Coturnix japonica: one gene and its partners. The protein of the gene in region 2 purifies or fractionates together with the protein of the main gene of each other region. This does not show direct contact. Links are inferred from orthologs where the notes say so. Each region holds a gene or a part of one and is shown on either strand. Other genes may lie near its edges. The genes, in order: ZMYM2, ARRDC1, HECW2, YAP1, NEDD4 and NEDD4L.

Region 1 (3,500 bases), on a different chromosome or scaffold from region 2:
CCCAAACACAGGAAGGGTATGGAGCTGTTGGAGAGGGTCCAGAGGAGGGCCATGAGGATCATTCAAGACCAAGAGCACCTCTAAGATAACAGGCTGAAGGAACTGCCCTTGTTCAGCCTGGAAAAGTGAAGGCTGCAGGGAGATTTCATTGTGGCCTTCCAATATTTAAAGGGAGTTTATAAATATGAGGGAAATAGGCTTTTTACATAGGTAGATAGGGATAAGACAATGGGGAATGGTTTTAAAGGGAGGGAGGTTTAGATTAGGTGTCAGGGAAACTCTTTACTGAGGGAGTGGGGAGGTGCTGGAATAGGTAGCTCAGAGGGGTTGTGAACACCCTGTCCCAGAATGTGTTCAAGACCAGACTGGAAGGGGCCCTGCGCAATCTGATGTAGTACTTGATCTAGTAGCCCTTCCTGTGGCAAGGAGGCTGGAACTTGATGATCCTTGAGGTCCCTTCCAACCCAAGTCATTCTATGATTCCTTGAATTTAAACATAATACTGTAAAATACAATTTCATGTAGTCACAGGTAACAAGATAGCAATTATAGTGCGTGTAACTGAGTGCAGGAAGTTGAGCCTACAAGTTAAACCCACTTTGTTAAGCACCGTAAACACTGAGAATTGATCAAATGTCACAATACATTGCATACTAACTACTTCTGACTAACAATCAAATCATCCAATTCAGTTTTTATTCATTCAGACTGTATGAATTAAGAGGTCTTTTCCAGCTTTGATTCTGTGATTCACCATTCTTTGAGTGAATAAAGAAGTACACTCAAGCCATAAATGAAACTTCGCTCTTTAGACAGAAATATTTATATCTGAAAACACCTGAAGCATTACTGCACAATCTGTGATTCTGTGACCTGGGATACTTTACCTACACAAGACATCAAGTCATTGAAGAATTTTTTTTCTAGAGTTGTAGATAAAGTTGTGATAAGGATCAAGAGAATCAAGATCTTTTATAAGAATTAAACTTATAAACTACTGCAGTTCAACTGACCCCAAAAAAATTATCAAACTACTTTAAGGTAATGGTCAGAATTCTAACTTACCAGGATTATGATGAGTCACAGATTCTCCATTTTGAAATACATCTCCAGCCACATTCATTCTACCAGGATTGAAAGGTCCTACACCAGTCTTGGTCTGTGAAGTTAAAGATGGGGTGTATGTTTGCATATTAACACCAAAATTACTTGACTGCAGTCCGTTAGATACATCTCCCAAGTTGGCATTCTGCAATGATGTTACATGAGTAATCATTAAGTTCATGTCACGCCCTTCAGCATTTTCTACATGACCATCACTCACAGAGCTCATAGTACCTGTTTCTAATGTAGTTACATTAGCAATCTGAATGTCAGAGTCTGGTTCTGTGGATATACCACTACTACCAATTCCTGAATTTACCTTACTTCTTGAAAAACTGGAAGCTGAGAAATCCATATCGTTGGCTCTGTTTTTACACTCAGGAAGTCTTCGCTCATTAAAACTGGAAGCATTCTTCTCTTGTCCTTGATTTGTTTCAATATCTTCTTCATCATCAATAATAATAGTTTCGCTTATACTCCCCTTTTGAGAATTCAAGTCTTTCGGAGGAGGAAGCATTTTGCAATCATCACCTTGAAGTTCGTCATTTTTTGACAATGCAAACGCAGCGTTTCTTTGTTCTGCTATCAGTGATGTAGAATTTTGTGGCGTTTGTACAGGTTCAATAAAAACTACATCATCATCATCATCTACTGTAGAGTTCTGGAATTTACCCGGTCTAGAAACTATGGAGCTTGGTGGACTAGCAAATGTATTTCCTACATTTGCAAGACCTGCTGCCATGGTGGTATTTGCTAGGTCAGGAGTATGTTCAGATAGTTCTAAGCCTCCCAGAGAACTTGTGTCCATTCCAGACCTGCTGTTTGGAGAAAAACAAAGCAACAACAACAACAACCAAATGTCAGAGTATGATATAACTTTTCAGTAACAGCTCATAAAAATAACTACACAGATTCCCAGAGAGTTGGTTGAAAGGGACCTCTCAAGATCATCTGGTCCAACACCCAACTACAGAATTTATAGTCTTAGTTTTTATTTGGTTTTCTTCTTGTCTTGGCTAATACACAAAGAAAACCCACACATTTTCTCTATGGTTTTCTTATTTGAATATCTTAACATTCACTTCGTTTCTAAACTTCTACTAGGAAGTGAAAGGGCGAATAACAACATTTCCCACTAAAACAGTGTTTAGCAAAAACACATCAGAAACTGAATTTTTGTTGGTATTCACTACAAGATTTTCATTTCTCAATCCCACTCCTGAGGGACTCCCTCCACCCACAGATACAATGAGCCCGTAAGACTTCTTTCGCTAGACTGCAAAGCAAGGTCAAGATTTAGACCACCATAATAAAAAAACTGAATTCGTATTAAATTCCATTGCTATTAGAAACATTACCAACTTTCAACATCAACAGATTTATTTAAAAAAAAAAAATAGACTGAAGCTGTATCAATGCACATCATTTTCGTCTAGCTGACGTTCCCCCACCCCCACAAAGGCAAATCTCCTTATGTGGTCCCAATATAACTGAGATAGAGAAGCAAAAGAGATATGGAATCGCCACATGCACTGAGAATACACACATTATTACAGGTGCACATCAACTTTGCATTTCTTGCCATTATCAGATGTGGCTCATCTGAGGTCCTGACTTACTACTTCATGTTCCCCAACATGAAGTTCCTGCAGCTCTCAACAGCTTTGATCTCTTTTCTCTCTAACAGCAAGCAATGCTTCTTCAGGCTCCCTCACAACAGCTACTTTGCTTGTGGGTTTCAGTTTGCATTTAGTTCAGTTTGGTCAAATCTCCTGTTTGTAACTGTATCATTGTGAATTAAACACTGATAAGCAGCAAATAGAATATGTAACTTCTGTACCTCTTCTTACCTTCTGCAATTTCAAACGAGCATATGATTGCTGTTAAGAGAATTAAAATTTCTGTAAAGAATACCTGTACTAAAAAAATAGTGAATTAAGCTGACCTTGATACATACAACAGGAAATACACAGTTAACATTAAAATTAAGGTATGTCTGAGTACACACTGACGTGTGACATCACTGAGCATTTATCAAAAGCTACAAGTAGCTTTCTGTGCATTCTTATAAATTCTTTATTAAAGGAAGTTGAAATATCCCTCTCATAAATACTTACCCATCCAGAAATCCACTGCAATCTGTTTACCTTAGTAAGTTGCTCCAAGACCTTTTATTTTTCTTCCTGTGTGTGGCCTGCTCTTCTTGAACCAACTTGCTGCCTTCTGCAAAAGCCGTGTTCTGTTCTGAAACAGTGTAAAAACAAACAGTAAATACCTGAAACGGAGTATACCTAAAAACAGCTCAAATGTCTTCAGTTGTCCTACAGTAATAGGGAAAATGTTTGTCTATACCATCATTGTCATTAGTAATGCAGCCAAAGTGCTGTTTACTCCCA
Region 2 (3,500 bases):
AAATAGTGCCTTGTGCTGCTAAGTGGGCGCACAGGATATTTTCATGGTCTGTCTCCTCTCATGCAATAGACACCCTTTAAGAAAAAATAAGTTGTTTGTAAAACAAATGATAGATGATGCCACATAAGACTCATAGTCGAGCAACAAGGTGTGTGGGTGCAGAAGAGCAGAGATGCTCTCAAACGCTTGGAGAGTGTTCCAAGTCTCCATAGTTTTGCAAACCTCTTCCCCCAGAATGTCCTTCAAGAGCACAGGCTGTTTTTCTTCTTATTTATTTTGCCACTCAGAACATGGGAAGAGATCATGCGGGCATTTTATCACACTGAGCTTCCCTCTCTGCTCCACATCACAGGAGCAGGGCTGCTGCAGCCCCAAGGACAGCAGAGCTGGGCATGTGGTGACTGCATGGCCTTGGGGACACCTGGGGTCCTCCCTCATGGTCTGCCTGAATCAGCCCTCAGAGCTGCAACCTGCTTTTTACCCAATACTCCAATGTATCTTTGCAAGACAGGGCAGTAACAGCACAACACACCTCAGGTCCAAGCTTGGTGGTCCTACAGGGCAGATCTTCCCTTCACTGCACCCACGGCCCAGGCTGCCTGCACTACTGACACTGACACACAAACTCAGCAGTGCACAACAACTTGGGTTCCAGAAAAGTCAAGAGCAAAAATATTAACGCTTTCTGTGACAACTTTAGGAGCTGGGAATACCAGTTTTGGAGGCTTTCTGGAATTTGAGCATTCAAAGGTATTACATTAAGGGACAGCTTTGTCCTTCATAGTCTACATTTGCTCCAGTTGAGAGCTGCAACCCTGCAATAAACAACTGCAGGAGCAGCCATCAGCATTTCCCAGAGGCTGAGAACCCTCCTATACCCACTCCTATCCCAAGGCTTCTGCTGTGACAGCCTTACCAGCACAGAACCATCTACAGTAGCACAGTTTCCTCATGAATCATTAACACTAGAAAAACATGTAGAAGTTCATTGTCAGTGCAGTTTAAGCTTCTCCAGGAGCCTGCTATTATTCACAGTCTCCAGCTCACCAGCACTGAATTGCCTGTAGCCCCTTCCAAAGCCTCCAGGATTCTGCCAGCCCAGCATTCACAGCTGAGCTCCCTGGCTGTGATCACTACCATGTCTAAAAGCAGGACCATCTCTCATTGCCCTCCCAAGCAGTCTGACTCCTCCTGCAGCCCCTAGGCTAGAAGCCAAACTGAGCAGCCAACCAGCCACCTCCCTTCCTGAGACCTGAGCAAGCAGCATCATCTCCAAGTGAGGTCAGTTTCCCCTCCATGCTAAAAGCTCTGCCTGAGAAATCGCTGAGCTGGCAGGAGCTGCCACTTCAGCTTCACCCATTTCCTGTTAGTAGATCAAAGGATCAGTGCAGCATCAGAGGACTGCACTGCAAGCCTGGCCTAATGCCACGTTACAATCCCTGCTACAGCCACTGCCCTCAGCAGGTGAATACAGGCACCTCTTGGTTCTGATAGGAGCCAGAGCACAGCACAAATTATTTATGCTAAGGTTGACCTATTTAATAGCAGAACGACAGCATTCATTCGAGCCCAGATTCCCCTGAGGCTACTGGTGTCACTTTACCCACAGGATAACACAGCCCCACTGCTGTATCTCCAGGCACCTCGACTGGCAGCTGTGCACTGGGAGCTGCCGTAGGCTGCTCATGCCACCCTTTCAGTGCTTCTCCTGGAGCTTGAGCAACACCTCCATATCCCCTTCCAGTGTAGTTCAACCACTCCCAGCCTGACACCAGCTTCAGCTGACCAGTTTTGATAAGTGTTTTGATACTCCCATAGATAGCACGTGGAAAGCAGAGTAAGATTAAGCCATAGGGCTTTCACAACCACTGTGCTCACAGATGTCCACCAGCAGCAGCAACGTGGCTGCTGACAGCCCCACTCTAAGCAGAGCAGGGCCAGAGGACACCCCATATTTGTGCAGCCGATTGGGATGCCACTCTGCACAGCTCCTGCTGCCTCCAATATCAGCTCATATACTTTGTGCACAAGTCAAAGCAGCCTATGAAGGGGCATTTCACATCACTGCACTGCTGCAGATCAGAGTCAGCCACCTCCCAGTAAGAATCCACACACCCACAGGTCACCACCAAACCCTTGTGGAGCTCACCTTTGTCTGCCAGAGACAGCGTGGTGTTGAAGTACTGCTCCTCCACGGTCCAGGCAGTGTCATTGATCTTGTTTGACACCCCACAGAATCCAACACAGCTCACCTTGATGGCTGTTAATGAGAAACAACATGCAAAAGTCAGGGAGAAAGCAAAGCCACAATGATTGCACAGAGCCTCATGAACACACAGGGTGAAAAAAGGGAGTGGGGGAATCAGGTCACAGCTCCAGCCCAGAGCACATTTTCCCCTTGCTCTCAGCACTATCACACTCTCTCTGCTCCCCCAGTGCTACTTGCAGCTGTCAGCACCAGGAAGATCTCATGCTGGCTCACTGTAAAGGCCCCAGCAGTGACTTCAGCATCAGGGCTGCTGAGTGTCGGTGCTTCTCAGCAGCCAGAGACCACTTCAAGAGAGCACCTCCTCCTCCTGTGAGAGATACAGGACTGACAGCAAAGCCACATAGCCAGCTCCAGAAGCATTTAAGATGCCATTTGACTCTCCCAAAGCAAACACAGAATTGGAGCTGTTTGTGCCCTGCCTTGGGTAAGTCGTCCCCGAGTCTGCCCTGCTTGTTACACAGCAAGAGGCATCTGCAGTGCTTTGCTCCAGCCTGAATGTCTCCTGTCTTGATTCCCACCAGGTTTTGCAACAACTTTAACAGATCCCACAGAGCTCCCGTGCTGGACCTGCTGGTAAGCCACCAGACAGGCTCTCCTCCCAATTCACCCACCCACTTGCTGCGTCCAAGCAGCATCTCACAGGAAGCCTCTCCCCTGGAGGCAGGCAGCCAATCTGCCCCACTTCAGGGCTGCCTTCCTGCTCCACGCTCCCCACCTCCTTCCTCCCAAGCACTGAGCTGCAAGTGATGCTGCTCACATACACCCCACACCGCTCCGTGCAGTGCCTGCCCTGCCAGCCCAACTCAAGGTGGAAAGAAACCCAAACCCAGCCCACTCTGCAGGGGGAATGCAGAGCTCACACCCCAGTCCCCTTCACTGTGTTTTGCCATATGAGTCCGGACTGAACGGGCTGCTTGAGGCTCAAAGTCTCCAGTCCCAAAGGAGGAACAGCCAACCCACAGCCCTGCTCACCCAGTCACAGCCCGACCACGACCTGGAGCACCCAAGCACTGCTTCATCCTCAAGGGCAAGGGATGAACAGCGGCAGATGCCAACTCGTGTTAATCAAGCACCACTACGCACTGGCTCTGCCTGTGTCTATGAGGCACACCAGTACTTCTGATGCTGGGGACAAAGCAAAGAGCATGGCTGTGCTGAGCTGGAATGGGTCCCCTGCACCACAGAGCAGTGTCAAGTCCTTCCCCCCCCCCCCACCCATCCACCAGGGAAT
Region 3 (3,500 bases), on a different chromosome or scaffold from region 2:
ATCAGTCCAATTAAGTTTCTCAGTTCATTATAACAGCTCATCTTTTGTCATACACACCACTGGCAAACATATTTTCACAAACCTCCTTAATGCAAGCCATTGTTGTTGCATCCTTTGCTGACTTTCCTTCCAATTCACTTCTGCCCCAGGAACTTGAACTCTATGGTGCACCCCAAGCAGGCACTCGTAGTCTTAGGTTTATCAAGTGCTGGATATGCTGTTATAACACATGGCATTAAGTAATGTACCTTCATGAATATACAAAAGAAAAAAAAAAACAAAAAAAAAAGAACAAAAAGTATATTGTATGATTTTTCACTGATTTACTGTGTAGGTGGGGCCTGAATGATTTCACATTTTGACTTGAATTTTCTATTCATCGACTTTGGTGAAATCCAGTTTTCAGACTCATGTCAGTTTTGCAGTAGCCAGGCTGACCTCAACATGGGATCGCACATTTCTTGTTTCCTCACAACAAAACATAGGAAGTCTGATCATCCTGAAAAAGCAGGGATTGCAGGACTTGGTTTTCCCTACACTTCAGCCACGCTCCAGATTCACTGTAGAGAATTCTGCCACTATCACAATGCTTTTTAATTGCTTCATAAGCTCTTTCACGGAACCTCATTATCGGAATGGCAATCTGAAATCCGGTACAAATGTTCATTCGTTCTTTGAGAAGTCAGATCCACAAAAGTTCATAGAGCAGGGCACTGTGGTTTGTGTATCACTCAAGTCCAAAAGTACTCGTCTCTTCTACTGCTGTCAACAGTTTTTCATACAGCATAGAGAACGATGGATATGGGGGAAGGTCCAGACGATTGAAACAAGTGTGAGCCCTGAGGGAACAAAGAGGAGGTAAAGAAGTATATTATTCTAAAAGGTCAAAAGAAATTAGGTAGACTGATATGCACTCGCATATAAATGGCCAAACAGTGTTCTTTCAGAAGATCTTGCTCTCTCAAATGATGTTTTCCAACCAAACAAGTAGTGAGGTTTAATGTACATTTTTCTGATTATAACAAGCCAGTAAGATGCATTCATTAAGGCATTCAGAAACATACTTACAGCTCAAAAGACATGTGATAAATTTTACCCGTTAAACGTGCACAGGACAAGAATGCTGTAACGTAATACAATTCAAGTAGTCTACTATGAAACATTAGTTTTCAATCTATCTTAGAAGTTGTGTTGTTTGTTTTTTTTTTATATGGATGATACCTGAATACGGTATTTGTAATCCATCGCAGGATGATGAATATGCACAAGGTACTAGATTTGATGAAACATTAAATGATATGCTAAGTATTTCAAGGAAACAATCGCGTGGTAATTAAGGACAGACAAATCGAATGCTTTTCCTTGCATGATTCCTCAGCATTGATCGTGTTTCTGAGAAGTTGTTGTAAATAAGCACGAGCACTATCAGTGTATTCAACCCAGCAAGTCAATGACCTTTAGATTTACTGTTTGTAATTACACAGAACTATGCAAGTAGCTATAAAACACCACTGTGCCTTCTTAAGAGAAAAATCACATGGTTGGTTTCTTGCTCAGATTCCAAAGTCCACCTTTGAACTAAATCTTGAGACCCCTTCCAAGGAATAAAAAGGGAAGTAATGCATCTTTCTTCTCTTAGTGGAATAATGGGTAGTGTGGCCTGACCCCCAGGGCACGCCAAGAATAATACTTACTAAAATACAACAGTGAAACAGATCTAGTGAAATAGATAGAACTATTAACCTGATGAGTTCTTGAGAAAAAATGTTGGGAAGACAAGCTGGAAGAGGTATCTTCTCCACTTTGAAGCTTTATTACCAAAGCCTACATTTCCCCAGCATGAGCTCCAGCAGCTCAGTAAAAACTTCTTCACTCTGCCACCTCACTAAGGCTCTTGGAAGAAAGCTTTCTTTGCTTTTCTGTTTTGCCTTTCCAAAACCAAAGTAACAGTGTATTTTTCTTTTTCTATAGAAGTTTCCACTTAGAAGAAAGAGGCTGATTTAGACCTGGCAGCAAATGGACAATTGGAGCAAGGTGTCTGGAATGGCTTAGCAATCACAGTAAACTATGGCAGAGTCTCATGCAATTTGCAGCTTAACCGCATGCTTCTGCTGCATTGGGCTGGAAACCACTCATTAGAAGTATGGATCATGCTGTGTGGGCTGTAAAACCACAAGTTGTGAAAGACATAGCATATAATTAGCAAAGGCTTAATAGCAATTTGGCATATCATTTACGTTTATTAAGAGAATTGAGTTTTATCTTAATTTTGAGGGCAATTTTGAGAACATCATCACCTACTTTGGAAAACCAAGTCATTAAAAAAGACAAAAACTTAAGATCTTGGTCTATTGTGGGAATCTCTTTCTCACCCTTACGAGAAACTTCTTAAGGCTTCAGGAAGAAAGGTTGTTTGTTGTTTTTCTTTGTTCCCCTGGACAACATTTTCCCACTCCATCATCTCAAACCGTGTGGAAACAAGACTTCCATGTTCCTGGACTCACATTTGAGGACAACATGAAAAATAACTTGGTTCCTGAAGTCCAGATTTCCAGTTAAGCTTCACTTCATTGTAATTTGAACAGTATTACAGTAGCAAAAACACAAAATCATAGAATGGTTTGGGTTGGAAAGGACCTTTAAGATCATCTGGTTCCAACCCTCCTGCTACAGGCAGGAACAACTCCCTCTAGACCAGGTTGCTCACAGCCCCATCCAGCCTGGCCTTGAGTGCCTCCAGGGTGGGGGCACTCACAACCTCACTAGGCAACCTGTGCCAGTGCCCTCACAGTACAGGGTCATGCTTGTCTTGATGCAACCCAGCATACAGCTGGCTTTCTGGGTTACAAGCACATTGCCGGCTTATGCAGAATCTTTCATCAACTGACACTCCCAAATCCTTCTCCTCAAGGCTGCTCTCAAGCCCAGCCTGTGTGTGTAACTTAGGGATGAAGATGACAGAGGGCCTGGAGCACCTCCCCTGTGAGGAAAGGCTGAGTAACCTGTGTGTGTTCAGCCTGGGGAAAAGAAGACTGAGAAAGGATCTGATAAATGTTCATAAATATCTAAACGGAGGTGGGAGGCAAACGGATGAGGCCAGGCACTTCCTGGTAATACGCAGTGATAGGACAAGGAGTAATGGCCTAAAATACAGTAAGTTCCATATTAACATGTGGAAGAGCTCTACAGTAAGGGTGATGGAGCACTGGAACAGGCTGCCCAGGGAGGTTGTGTAGTCTCCCTCTATGAAGATATTCAAGATCTGGCTGGATGCCTACACATGCAACCAACTGTAGGGTACCTGGTTTAGAAGGGGGTTGGGCTCAATGAACTCTTGCAAACCCTGAGATTCTGCGAACCTGATACACCTCACAGATCCAGTAGTGTTTACAGACAGGGCTTTTTTGGAAACCTCTTCAAAGTTTGCTATTCAGGGTCACTCTTAACAATGTCTTACCTCCTAGCCAGTACTACTTGGTGTTTGCACGCTAAGTCTCTGA
Region 4 (4,271 bases), on a different chromosome or scaffold from region 2:
ATGAGCTCCAAGAGAGGGAGAACTCCTGGACTCAACCATCAGAGCTACAAAAGGCTGAGCACAGAGTTTCCCAACCTGCAGCCCAACTGCTCTTTAAGGGCACTCACAAAGAGCCTGCCAGCGCTTTATCTAAAGAAAGCTTCCGCAAACTGTTTGACCAGTCAATCAGAAGTGACTCAGAGACCATTCACAGAGCTGCCAGACTGAAGTACGAGAGCTTCTTTGGCAGTAGGAAATAGACGTCCAAAGCCAAAAAGACAAAGCAGAGCTGAAAATTGGGTTAAAAACCTTTTGGTAAATGGTAAACGTACCAAAAAAATTAATCATCTCATAGATACCCCAGAACGACATGGCCACGTGCACTGAGATGCACGTATCAGTCCAGCCACGCCTCTCCATGCAGGTATTGCACCATACAAGGCCCCACTTATATGCTCCTATGGGGACATTTTGCTACAACTATATGTGAACATGTCATTTATTAAACTGGAACCGAGGAGGCTTACTTTTACATTTAAGCAGTGTACGAGGAGCAACTGAATGGACTCTGAGGAGCTTTGATTTTTGAAACAGAGAAATACAGACGTCCTTTCCTGACTGACATTTTATGTCACAAATGAACAAATGGGAACTACGAAAATCACAGAATCACAGAATGACCTGGGTTGGAAGGGACCTCAAGCATCATGTAGTTCCAACCCCCCTGCCTAGCAGGGCCACCAAACATACACATTTACTAGATCAGGTTGCCCAGGGCCCCGTCCAACCTGGCCTTGAACACCTCCAAGGACGGGGCATCCACAACCTCGATGGGCAGCCTGTTCCAGGGCCTAACCACTCTCCTAGTGAACAACTTCCCCCTAACATCCAACCTAAATCTTCCCTCTTTCAACTTAAAACCATTTCCCCGTGTCCTGCTATTGTCGGCACTGTAAAAAAAACGATAGTGAACAACAGAGCAATGGTTCTCTGCCTCCAGCTGAACATCAAGGCTGCACTGTAGGAGCTCCTGGGTGGGATGAGAACCCAAGGAAGGAGCACACACAGAGGATGTGGAGCAACAGGTCACTGCGAGGGAACACCAAAAGTGCAACAGTTGCATGAAAATTAAATGCATGCTGAACTTGTTTAACTGCACATAGATACTGTGTTTGCCAAGACACAGCAACAAGAAGCAGCTGAGCATGTGCAGCCCACACTTCTGTGTAACCAAACTGAGATACAACTCACACCAAGGGGAGCGATCCGAAGGAACCCCATTAATTGGGTTGGATTCAAAGTGCAATTAACAAGTCTGCAGCTCAGAAGCGAGGCAAAAAACCATAGGAGCAGCTGAGCCCCACCCCTGCTATTCTCTCTCCAGTCTCACGCCGTAAAGGCTGGGCAGCCTTTCGAGTACGTGGGCAATGAATTAACTCGTGCCAGGGTTCCGCACGGCGCAGAGCCCTGGGAGCCGAGGGCCTTCACGAAGCGGCCGCTGCGACACGGAGCGAGTTTCGCTCCGGCTGCACAGATTGAGCGGAGGCGGCCCATAACAAAACCGACTGTGCAGCTCAACGTGAAGCTCGTTAGTTCGTAGTGACACCTGAGCGACGCGGCCCCTTCCCGTCGGGGAACGGCGGCGGAGCCCGCTGCCCTCAGCCCGGGACACGAGGGAGCTCCGCGGACGGAGCCGACCCGGCGCATTGCGGACATGAAATGGTGGAAGAGCCACATCCATATTGCGGGGGGGAAAAAAAAAGACAGAAAAAGTTTGGCACCGCCCGCCGCCGTTCCCCCAGCGGCGGACCGTCCCGCAGCGCCGATCGGAACCCTCAGTCCCGGCGCTCCCCGCACCGCTCCGAGGCCTCTCCTCGCCTTTCCTCCCGGCCGGGCCACGGAGCGGATGTGGAGCCCGAGGGCCGCCCGGAGCCCGGGCCAGGACGGCGGCCCCTCGGAGTGGCGGGAGGAGCGGGGAGAGGAGGAGGAGGAGGAGGAGGAGGCGGAGGAAGGCAGCGCGCTCCCGGCCCCGCGCCCCCCGCCCGCACCGAGGGCGGATTCCCGCCCCGGCCCCTTCCCCCCCAACCCCCACCCCCAGCGCACACCTCCCCCGGGAGGAGCCCGGCGGCGGCGCGGAGGGAGGGAAGGAGGGAGGGAGCGAGGGAGGGAAGGAGGGAAGGAGGGAGATCGGAGATCGCGGCTCAGCGCCGGGCCGGGCCGCCCCCCCTCACCTGGCGGGAGTGAGCCTTGGGCTCGGGCGGCTTGAAGAAGGAGTCGGGCAGCTTGCGGAGCCGCATGGGCAGCGTGTGCGGCACGTTGGCGCCCTTGGGGTTCATCACGGCGTTGAAAAGAGCCTCCAGGTCGGTCTCGGAGTCGCCCCGCACATGGACGATCTGGTGCCCCGCCGGAGGGGGCCCCGCGCCCGGCTGCTGCGCGGCGCCTCCCGGAGCTCCCGACACGTTGCCCGGGGGCTGCGGGGCCGCCTGCTGCGGGGCCGGGGGCTGCGCCGCCTGCGGCGGCTGTTGCGGCTGAGGCTGCCCGGGATCCATGTCTGGCTGCGGGACCCCCCCGGCGCTTCCTCGCGGGGCTGGCGGCGGCTCAGAGCGCTCAGGGCCGGCCCCGCATGCCCCGCGCCGCGGCTCGTCCCCTCGGTTCCCCCGGCGCTTCCTACCCCTCGGCGGGGACGGCCCGAAACGGTTCCGGCCGCGCGGCGCTGCCCCGAGCCCGGCCCAGCCCGGCCGGCGCCTCCGTCCCGGCGGCGGAAACTAACTCGCACAACACTCCAAACAAAAGTTCGCAGTTACGCCCGCCCGAATCACTCTGCGGCCGGCTCCGCCCCTCCTGAGCCCGCCCGCACCGTATCCGACCGACACGGCCCAGCTCCTCGCGGCTCCTGCTCGCGCCCGCCCGCACCGCCTCCCGCCCACCGGGCGCCCCGAAGCGCAGGGAGCGGCCCGGCCCCCACAGCGGCCCCTCGGTCTCCTCACGGCTCGGCCCGTCCCGCCGGCCCAGCGCTCCGCTCCGCGCTCCGTCCCGCCCGTGTCCCTTTTGTGCCGCCCGCCCGGCCGCGGAGCCGCGCCGCCAACCACAACTTTTATTTTCCCCAACTTCTCTTCCCAACTTCAGGCTCCCGCCGAGGGGGTGGGGAAGAGCTGGGAAGAGCTGCGGCGCTCCCCTCCCCTCCCCCGCCGCCCCGGAAGGGGGCAGCCCCCCTCGGGGAGACGTGGGGGGGGAAGGCCGGGAGGGGGCACGACCCGCCCGCGGGACCGAGGCGGCGGGGAGCCGGGCCTCGGCCTCACCTGGCGGTGGGACAGCGGCCGAGCAGCGGGAAGGGACGAGCACAGACACATCTGGAGGAGTTACTTTTATTAAATGGGCCGAAACTCGTGAAAACAGCATCAGGAGGGTCAAAACTGGGGAAAAAAAAGAAGAATCACAATAGTCCAACCCCGTGAGAATCAGAATAGTCCAACCCCGTGAGAACAGCACCAAAGACGGGGTGTGTGACGGGCGTTACACACATCTTTCCGTACCCACCGTCCCACCGCCCCGCACCGCGCAGCCCCCGCCCGGCCCGCCGAGCTCAGGGCGCGCCGCCCCCGAAGCGGTGGTACAACGTGTGCACGTGGCGCCGGGCCGGGTCCAGCAGCAGATACGAGAAGGTCTGAGCGTGGGCTGAGCGCGATGGGTAACACAGGCCGCTGCCGTCCTGACGGGAAGGAAAAAGAGGCAGCGTTAGTGCGGAGTGTGTCCCGAGCGGACAGTGCGTAGGATTACACGATTGGAGCCTGAAATCCAGCTGATTAAATACTCAAAGATCCCATCACGTCCCATTAAAACACAAATAAAATAGGTACGGGCTGCATATTAACACATAAAGTCCTTCTAACAACGCTTCTTTTTCACTCGGCGTTTAAGGAAAACCCCTCCGGAGCGCTCCGAGCAGCGCTGAGCTGTTACCGAAGGCAGTTTGTGCCACTGCTCACAAATATGCGAGGAGAATGGACGCCCCGCCCCAACCCGCTCCTGGCAGGCCGCCCCCAGCTGCCGGCAGCGCGGTGGGCTCAGCTCAGCTCAGCACCCGCTGCTGCCCGGCCTGCCCCAGCAGAACGCCCGGCACAGCACAGGAGCCTGAGGGGATTGTTTGGAGGCTGCTTTTCTTTCTGTCGGTTGGGTTTCGATGTATTCAATCCGGAATTCGAGCATCCAAAAGATCAGGAGATCCGTAGCTCGCACATCCTGTCTCTGAATTCCCAGTGTGGTTCCCTCCCGCTCCCCAACACCTTGTTTGG
Region 5 (4,300 bases), on a different chromosome or scaffold from region 2:
CAGTACATCTGTTATTTTCAAGACTGAAAATTTTACTGTAGCACAAATACAAATCTTACCTTCTTTGTTCTATTAATGCACAAAAACTTGGGCATGAATTTATCAGCCAGTTTTGGGATGGCAAGATTTTGGCTAATTGGTGCCAATCGGTGGTGTTGCATAATGAACATAGTATTATTTAGATTTTAGGAACAAAATGTAGATTCGATGTTTAATTTTGGTCTTATTTGTCCAACAAGCGCACAGTCAGAATATGCACTGTATTGTTGAGCGTTTCAGGAACTGGGAGGTCCCAGTTTTGTAAGCGACTGCTGAAGAACTCTTGAGTTCTGAATTTGGAATGTGAGAAAACTGCTTTTGTGTAGCATGCCCAAGTGATGATGAATTTCCCTCCTCTTATAAACAACCCAGATCTTGAATAATGAGGAAATTGTGACCTTATATAAAGTAACATCAGTTTAAAGTATCATCAGTTTCCAGTCAGAGCTTTTCTGCAACATAAAAAAATGCTGTACTCTTGGATATCTTTATATGTATGGTTAGTTCTAGAAAGCAATTTTTTTTTTTATTCCCATCTGATAAACTTATTAGATGGACTGCTTGGTCTTGTGCCATTGGTGTTATTTTAATTCTTCTCACTTTCCTTGTTCTCTTTCAAGCATTACTATTGCTTTCTCTTTTTTCTTATTGCTTAGAAGCTATATCTTCTCATCCTTCTCTTTTATCAGTGCTATGTAAGGAGGAAGAAGAAGGTCATTTTCTTGCATTTGTTTGCTATACCTTTTTATAATAATTTTTTGACTGATAATTGTTTTAATTTTTTCTTGCTGTGGCTTTGTCCAAGACCTCTAGTTTGGCTGATAAAGATAGACCATTGGTTTAAAATCTTCCATAGAAGTACAGTGTGTGGTTCACTAGTTTGCCATCCCTAAACTTAATCCTAAATATTTTTAGGTTATGCATCTCAATGTTAGAAAATACGTTTTGGTCCTTTTAGACCTCTAGTTAAACCAATTTGCTCTGAGCCACTGTTATTGGAAGAAAACAATTTTAATCTGGATGTCAGCATCATTTAGTTTTTGCTTTGATATACGTAAAAGCAATGATACATTTTTGAACTCTCATACCAAGTTCTGTGAGAAACAGCCATTTTAATTTTGACTTTTTATTATTCTCCCTGTGCTTATACAGAAGGAAAGAAGTATCTCATTTGTCTTAATGACACAACCAGTGGAATTCAGCAGATATTTTAACTACTCTCATCTTTCTTTTTCCTAGGTTAATCCTCAGAAACACAGACTCCTTTTTGAAGTGTTTGATGAAAACCGTTTGGTAGGTCCTTTTCTATTAATATTGCAATTTAATAAAGGCTTCAGTGAAAATAACTTGATCTGGATTCAATGTTCAAAATTAAAATAATAATAATAATAATAATAATAATAATAATAATAATAATAATAATAATAATAATAATAATAATAATAATAATAATAAACTGGAAAAAACAAAAAGAACAACCCAAAGGAAGACCTGATTTGTTTACTTTTCTGCCACTACCACACTTAGATGTTCTGAAGTAATGAGGCCTTAACTCTGAACTTCTAACGTGCTTAACTCAGAAGCATTTTTTCTTACATTGCTTCTCCAGTGCTATGACCAAGTGACACTGAAAGCTCTCTACTGAATGCTTATTTTTCTTACAAAGCAGCATTGACAGTGTAGATGTTTGTATTCATGGGGGCATTTTTTTCAATAGCATGAAGGAGCAGTGGGACAGAAATGTGTTTCTTTGTCAACAGGCAGACACTGGAGTGTTACTTTGTTATTCACTGAATGAGTTATCGTAAATAAAGTGGGGATAGCTTGTGCATTTGTGTCCTTGGTGAAATTCTAACTCCTGACCATGTTCTTGTTTCCTACATGAGGAGTCTTCCTTTTTTATTCTGCCCATATGCTCAATTGTAAATTACAGAGGCTAACATTTGTGTTGTAAGCCAGTTTAACAGACATTCTATCTCAGTGGAATATATACCTTTCCAATTAAGTTCTACTGAAGTAGAGACTTGAGTGGTCTCTAGCTTGCACTTCAGACACTTTTTTGCTCTGTTAGCCATTTTGAAGAATATCAATGCCTGAGGAATGTGTTAGCAGCAAAAACCCTTTCATTTTTTCCTAATGCTGTCTGGATTGTCAATAATCTGTTGTACCTTTTATGCTAATGGTTGAAAGAATGGAAATGCCTGCAAATCGAATTCTGATTTCTTTTGAATAATTACGTCTAAGAATGGAGAGCTTTATTTCTTGGTTGTAGCCATCACACAATAACAAAGTCATTTTATTGCTGGCTGGTGGTGGTTCTTGTCCCAGATATTTCAAATATTTAAAGCAGAAACTTTAAATGGAATCACCAGAACTTGTGGTTGACGTGTCAGGATGCTCAGAAGTTAGTCTCAGAATGCTGTTAAGGGCTGCAGCGCAGGCTTGAAGTACAGTCCATAGTCTTTGGAACCGCACTGCCACCAGGTGGAAGTCAGGAGGCATGACTAGAAAATCTGAGGCCCAAATTAAGGGGAAAAAAGCAGAGTTTGGTTTCCACCAAGGGAATTCCTTGTTGTTCATTCTCTAAGAGAAAGTAGATGAGTTGTTTGACCTCTTTGCTTGTGGGAAAGGAATCAACAAGACATCTTACTGGCATCGGTGTGAAACTATGCTTTGTTTCCTTTATGTGACTGAGTTTGGAGACCAAAGCAGCATGACCTAATCACTCACTATGTAGTTCTGTGATAACATGTTTTTACATCTTTCCTATCTCCTCATTCAGTCAGTGGAAAACGCTGTCTTCCTATTTCTACATAGTTTGCTTTCTGTTAAATGAACACTAAATTTCCATCCCATGTGTCTTGAACTACTTCAGTTGGTCAAATCATTACTTTTGCTGTGGTTCTTGGGAGACTGACAGTCTTGTTCACTTCTGTTGTCTTCTCATGTCAAAAAATCATGGATGCCTCATGATTTTTCACAAGGATATGCACGCAGCTGTGCTCAAAAGGTGTTTCATCTTCGGTGATTATAGTGGGCTTGTATGGCAATCAGTCATTCTTTGTTCTGCCTGCTGGCCAACTGTTTAAAATGTAGATGTGAGTAAGTTGATAACACTGACATTCTCTTACAGTTGTGGGACTGTCTTCATCTTTGTAGAGTTCTGTCCCACGTGTTTTAATTCCCATTAAATTCTGAAGAGAAATTGAAAGCTTGAAATTTCTTCTTGTTTTTAAGTAATGTTGCTTTCCTGAAAACTTGGTTCAAAAATCCTCTTCAAAGTTTGGCATAAATTGGAAGTCCTGCAGGACTGGCTTTATCACCAATACGTCTTAATGACAAGAGTATATGCAGTAAAATTGTTGCAGGTTTTTGTTGCATATGAAACTGACATGTTAGGAACTGTGCTACTGATAGGTGTATTGTTGGGACAGATAGGTTCTTGAAGAACTGCATTGTTTCCTCTTCATTCGCATGGTTAAGGGTGTGTGCTTTTTAAAATATACTGCTTGTAGTTCAACTGTAACTCTTTTAAAACCATGACCAAAAAAGCTTTTATGGTATTTTACTTTTCTTCCTGCTCCAACACGTAACATTAGAAGAAATCCAGCTGGTGAAGCATAATGGAATAGACGAACTATTGTATTTGTTGGCTTTTATGAATAAGGTAGTATTCATTTACTGCTGCATTCTAATCATGGAATTCAGGTAATGGAGTTTAAGTAAGCCCTGGAGTATAATTAGAAAACAAATTTGTTGCTTGCAAATAGAGTTCTGTGAATTGGATTCTTGGCTCTTATTTGGGAAGGAGGTTTAAATGTTAATTTTATTACCTTCTAGCTTAAAATACAGCAAAGGTTAAATAAATATGGAGCAGAAAAAAATCTAGTAGTGTGACCTATAAAAGTATAAATGGCCTAGTGTTCTTCTCTGTTTGCGCTTTTTCAGCAGCACTAAGTAATTTCATGCTAGTCTGGTACCTTTTTGTACTGTATGTATGTATTTATACTGTACATATGGCTTCTGTATTCATAAGTACATTCGTATCAAATATGTTTCAAAAAAAAGAAAAGAAAAATAAAACCCACACAAAAAAGAAAAAGAAATATTGAAAGGCAAGATTGCCTTTTTTCAGAAGTCCCACTAGATGCCAGCAAAGGACCTTTCCAGATGATGAGACAGCGAAATGTTTGTAAGATCTCTCAATCCTGTTATTCTTTCAAGAGATGACAGTGTATTAGTTGCTTTCTATGCTCTTCAT
Region 6 (2,913 bases), on a different chromosome or scaffold from region 2:
TACCCAAGGAGGTTGTGGATTTACCCCCATCCTCTGTCTTTCCCCCCACTAAATCACCAGTAGTGTTTGTTCACCTACTCAGATGTACTTATTTCTCTTGTTCAAGGGTATATGCTCATAAAGGTTAGAACGGAACGTCAAAAGAATTGGTAAGTCTGGTGTTCAAATGCTGAAACACCTTCATGCACCCGTTAGCTCCTCAACCCTTTTGCTGACATGCACACAGCATTTGCTGAGCATTATTAGCATCAAGCCGTCTTTCCAGCGGCCTTCTGAGCTAAGATATCGCCCTGCTAAGGTCCGTGGTGTAGCAGCAGGCCAGAGGTTGCTGGGCAGAGAGGTGACCTTCTGCTTCCATGCTGTACCAACTTGCTCTGTAAAGCATCAAAGTGGGCTCCCGGGGAAAAGTCCTGCACAAAGGGCAAAACCAACCCTGCCTGCTATGCAGCCAAACCCTCACACCTCCTGCGGTGGTGCTGTAACCATTTAAGTTCAGTGGATCGAATACAAATCTTTCACTTTTAATCCATCACACAAGAGATGCAACTCAAGACATTATAGTTTAAGCATGCAACATGTCATAGGTAACAAAACTGATTAGATAGATAGCAGTGTATATTAAATAAATCTTTGTGATTAAGTAAAAAATAAATCACAAAAACAGTTGCTGAGGAACATGTCTGCAGGCTCAGCTCTACAGCTGTTTGTTTTCTCTTTTATACATCAGCAGCAGCCAAACTCACAATTGATAAGATATTGCACCAGAAAGACATGTGCAGTGAGAAGGAACATAATCACATTAATGTTTATGATAAAAAAAACACAGATATGACTTCAATGTGTTACATAAAGTGCCTTTAGAGTTGGTGCAGTTAGAAACAAAAAAAAATAATATTGTGTTTAGATATCATTAGCAAATGCACACAAATAGGAGACAAAACAGATCTGTTTTTCCATAGCGCCAAATCACACAGTGCCAGGTTTCCTTCAAAATGCCTCCACTGCACACAGCAAAGAGGAAAGGATAATAAAAGAACCACTATACAAAGATAAGGACAGGGTTAAGCATATTTTCCTAAATGATTAATGCCAACCCTACCCCCAAAATGTTCTTCAGTACATGTAAATATCACCAAGGAATAATGAGGCAATTTCTTTATTGAACATGAGATTTGGCATGCTATGTTATGACTATCCCCAGACTCGTAACTATTATTTATACAAAAACGCAACATAGAATCCATATCTCATCTGGATACAGAAAAATATTTATGTGCTCTTGATACAGCCAATATAGAGAAGAATTCCAACATAGCTGTTTTCTACTCTCATAATGGTTTGGGAACACAAGGCTCAAAATGAGCTTGAAAAAAAATGACACTGGCATAAAATCTGGTACGAAATTAAGAAAAATGCTCGTTTTTCTTTTGCTTTCCCCAAATACATGACATTTAATTGTAATGAAATAAAATCTGAAAACATCTAAATCAATTAAAAAGTAAACATGAGTTGTAATACTATCCCTGTAAAATGATTAATTCCATTCATTGTCATTAGAAATTATGTAAAATTTTTATTAAGGGCTCAGCCTACAGAGGCACGACATAAATACAGTAAGTCCTGCTGAAATGTAGTCAGAGTACATATAACCCCATAGTGACTGGCCGTGGTAATGTCAAAAAAGCCATCCACAAGCCAGAGTTCAAGATCCTGCATTTTAGGCCACCGCGTTGTCCAAGAGGTCGCTCCAGGAACCAACGCCGTGAGACGGTTCTGCCACAGTCAGAGTCCTTCGTGGAGGAGTGGAAGCGCAGCAGAACGCGCCGAAAGGTGGGAAGAAGTGCCCTAATCCACTCCTTCAAACCCTTGTGCATTTTCAACCGCCATAAGGAGCTTCTCTCGCAGGTCGTCGAAGGATTCGTAAAGAGGTAAGTCTAAGCGATTAAAGCTGAAATTGAGAACGGAAAGGAAAATGGAATTACTCGACGCATTTCAAATGCATTTTTCTTCAAAGAAATAGAAAAGGCTGAATAACTTGGGTGTGAGACAGGAGTGTGTTATCCAATTGGAAAGACTGGGGCAGTCTGGATGTTGCACTGTGCAAACCTAACCAGTGCCAGCTGCTCCCTATGGGCACAGCGACCAGCTGAGGCCAACCTGGCTGCTGCCAAGAAGAGTCTACAGGAACTGCAGGCTGTCTTCTGAAAATAGGAAGGTTTACATTTATAACCACCCCTATAGAGGAAAAGAACTGTAACACAGAAGGTGGAAAACAGAAGACCTGCATGAGGATGAATGAGCTCTGGGTACACACACAGCCAGCATGCACGTCCATCAGCCAGCACCAACCAAATCACCTTTCTCATGTTTCAGTGTGTGTCTGCCTGCCCAGTCCCTGCACTGATTTTCTATCTATTAAATAACATTTTCTATTCTTTTTAGGACCCACACGCACTGTGACACACACACCAGATCCACCTGCACTCAAACAAACTCATGCACAGATGCGCTGAACACACACACACACACACACACACATACCCCAGACTTACCATGTGTGAGCTCTGGGCAGTTTATCAGGAGTTCCCCATTGCTCTATTGTAAACAGCTGAGGACCATTTGAACCTAGTTGGGAAAAAAAAAATCCACGAAAAACCTGAGTTAATGGATCCTACAGAAATCACTTCAATTGCTGTATTAAAAACTGCATGTTTACCCTAGTTGTAACTTCCATTTTCAACTGGTGCAAAGTACTTTGTACAAACACCCTGAGGTCAAAATTACATTAAAGCAAATGAGGATGTGGATGTGCTCAAGGCCAGGTTGGATGGGGCCCTGGGCAGCCTGGGCTGGTATTAAATGGGGAGGCTGGCAGCTCTGCATGCAGCAGTAGGGTTGGAGCTTTGTGATCCT

What was found.
Region 1: the proteins of ARRDC1 (region 2) and ZMYM2 purify together in Homo sapiens (affinity purification with mass spectrometry; 3 studies listed by BioGRID and IntAct, counting the BioPlex papers as one, with this or other methods). This does not show direct contact. The link is inferred for Coturnix japonica from reciprocal best matches to the Homo sapiens genes ARRDC1 and ZMYM2.
Region 3: the proteins of ARRDC1 (region 2) and HECW2 purify together in Homo sapiens (affinity purification with mass spectrometry; 3 studies listed by BioGRID and IntAct, counting the BioPlex papers as one, with this or other methods). This does not show direct contact. The link is inferred for Coturnix japonica from reciprocal best matches to the Homo sapiens genes ARRDC1 and HECW2.
Region 4: the proteins of ARRDC1 (region 2) and YAP1 purify together in Homo sapiens (affinity purification with mass spectrometry; 3 studies listed by BioGRID and IntAct, counting the BioPlex papers as one, with this or other methods). This does not show direct contact. The link is inferred for Coturnix japonica from reciprocal best matches to the Homo sapiens genes ARRDC1 and YAP1.
Region 5: the proteins of ARRDC1 (region 2) and NEDD4 purify together in Homo sapiens (affinity purification with mass spectrometry; 3 studies listed by BioGRID and IntAct, counting the BioPlex papers as one, with this or other methods). This does not show direct contact. The link is inferred for Coturnix japonica from reciprocal best matches to the Homo sapiens genes ARRDC1 and NEDD4.
Region 6: the proteins of ARRDC1 (region 2) and NEDD4L purify together in Homo sapiens (affinity purification with mass spectrometry; 3 studies listed by BioGRID and IntAct, counting the BioPlex papers as one, with this or other methods). This does not show direct contact. The link is inferred for Coturnix japonica from reciprocal best matches to the Homo sapiens genes ARRDC1 and NEDD4L.

The regions. Positions count from the first base shown.
Region 1 is NC_029516.1:160,216,143-160,219,642, forward strand, and holds part of ZMYM2 (zinc finger MYM-type protein 2), read right to left. Parts: intron 3,349-3,500; 5' UTR 3,222-3,348; intron 1,923-3,221; 5' UTR 1,913-1,922; coding exon 1,066-1,912; intron 1-1,065. UniProt on the Homo sapiens protein: Involved in the negative regulation of transcription.
Region 2 is NC_029532.1:1,154,004-1,157,503, reverse strand, and holds part of ARRDC1 (arrestin domain-containing protein 1), read right to left. Parts: intron 2,261-3,500; coding exon 2,150-2,260; intron 1-2,149. UniProt on the Homo sapiens protein: Functions as an adapter recruiting ubiquitin-protein ligases to their specific substrates. Through an ubiquitination-dependent mechanism plays for instance a role in the incorporation of SLC11A2 into extracellular vesicles.
Region 3 is NC_029522.1:329,546-333,045, reverse strand, and holds part of HECW2 (E3 ubiquitin-protein ligase HECW2), read right to left. Parts: intron 840-3,500; coding exon 728-839; 3' UTR 1-727. UniProt on the Homo sapiens protein: E3 ubiquitin-protein ligase that mediates ubiquitination of TP73. Acts to stabilize TP73 and enhance activation of transcription by TP73. Involved in the regulation of mitotic metaphase/anaphase transition.
Region 4 is NC_029516.1:163,478,071-163,482,341, forward strand, and holds the start of YAP1 (transcriptional coactivator YAP1), read right to left. Parts: upstream 2,801-4,271; 5' UTR 2,529-2,800; coding exon 2,211-2,528; intron 1-2,210. Other genes in the region: CFAP300 (cilia- and flagella-associated protein 300), read right to left, coding at 3,563-3,688. UniProt on the Homo sapiens protein: Transcriptional regulator with dual roles as a coactivator and corepressor. Critical downstream regulatory target in the Hippo signaling pathway, crucial for organ size control and tumor suppression by restricting proliferation and promoting apoptosis.
Region 5 is NC_029525.1:6,718,155-6,722,454, forward strand, and holds the start of NEDD4 (E3 ubiquitin-protein ligase NEDD4), read left to right. Parts: upstream 1-1,500; 5' UTR 1,501-4,300. UniProt on the Homo sapiens protein: E3 ubiquitin-protein ligase which accepts ubiquitin from an E2 ubiquitin-conjugating enzyme in the form of a thioester and then directly transfers the ubiquitin to targeted substrates. Specifically ubiquitinates 'Lys-63' in target proteins.
Region 6 is NC_029547.1:657,234-660,146, reverse strand, and holds the end of NEDD4L (E3 ubiquitin-protein ligase NEDD4-like), read right to left. Parts: intron 2,626-2,913; coding exon 2,553-2,625; intron 1,949-2,552; coding exon 1,846-1,948; 3' UTR 501-1,845; downstream 1-500. UniProt on the Homo sapiens protein: E3 ubiquitin-protein ligase that mediates the polyubiquitination of lysine and cysteine residues on target proteins and is thereby implicated in the regulation of various signaling pathways including autophagy, innate immunity or DNA repair.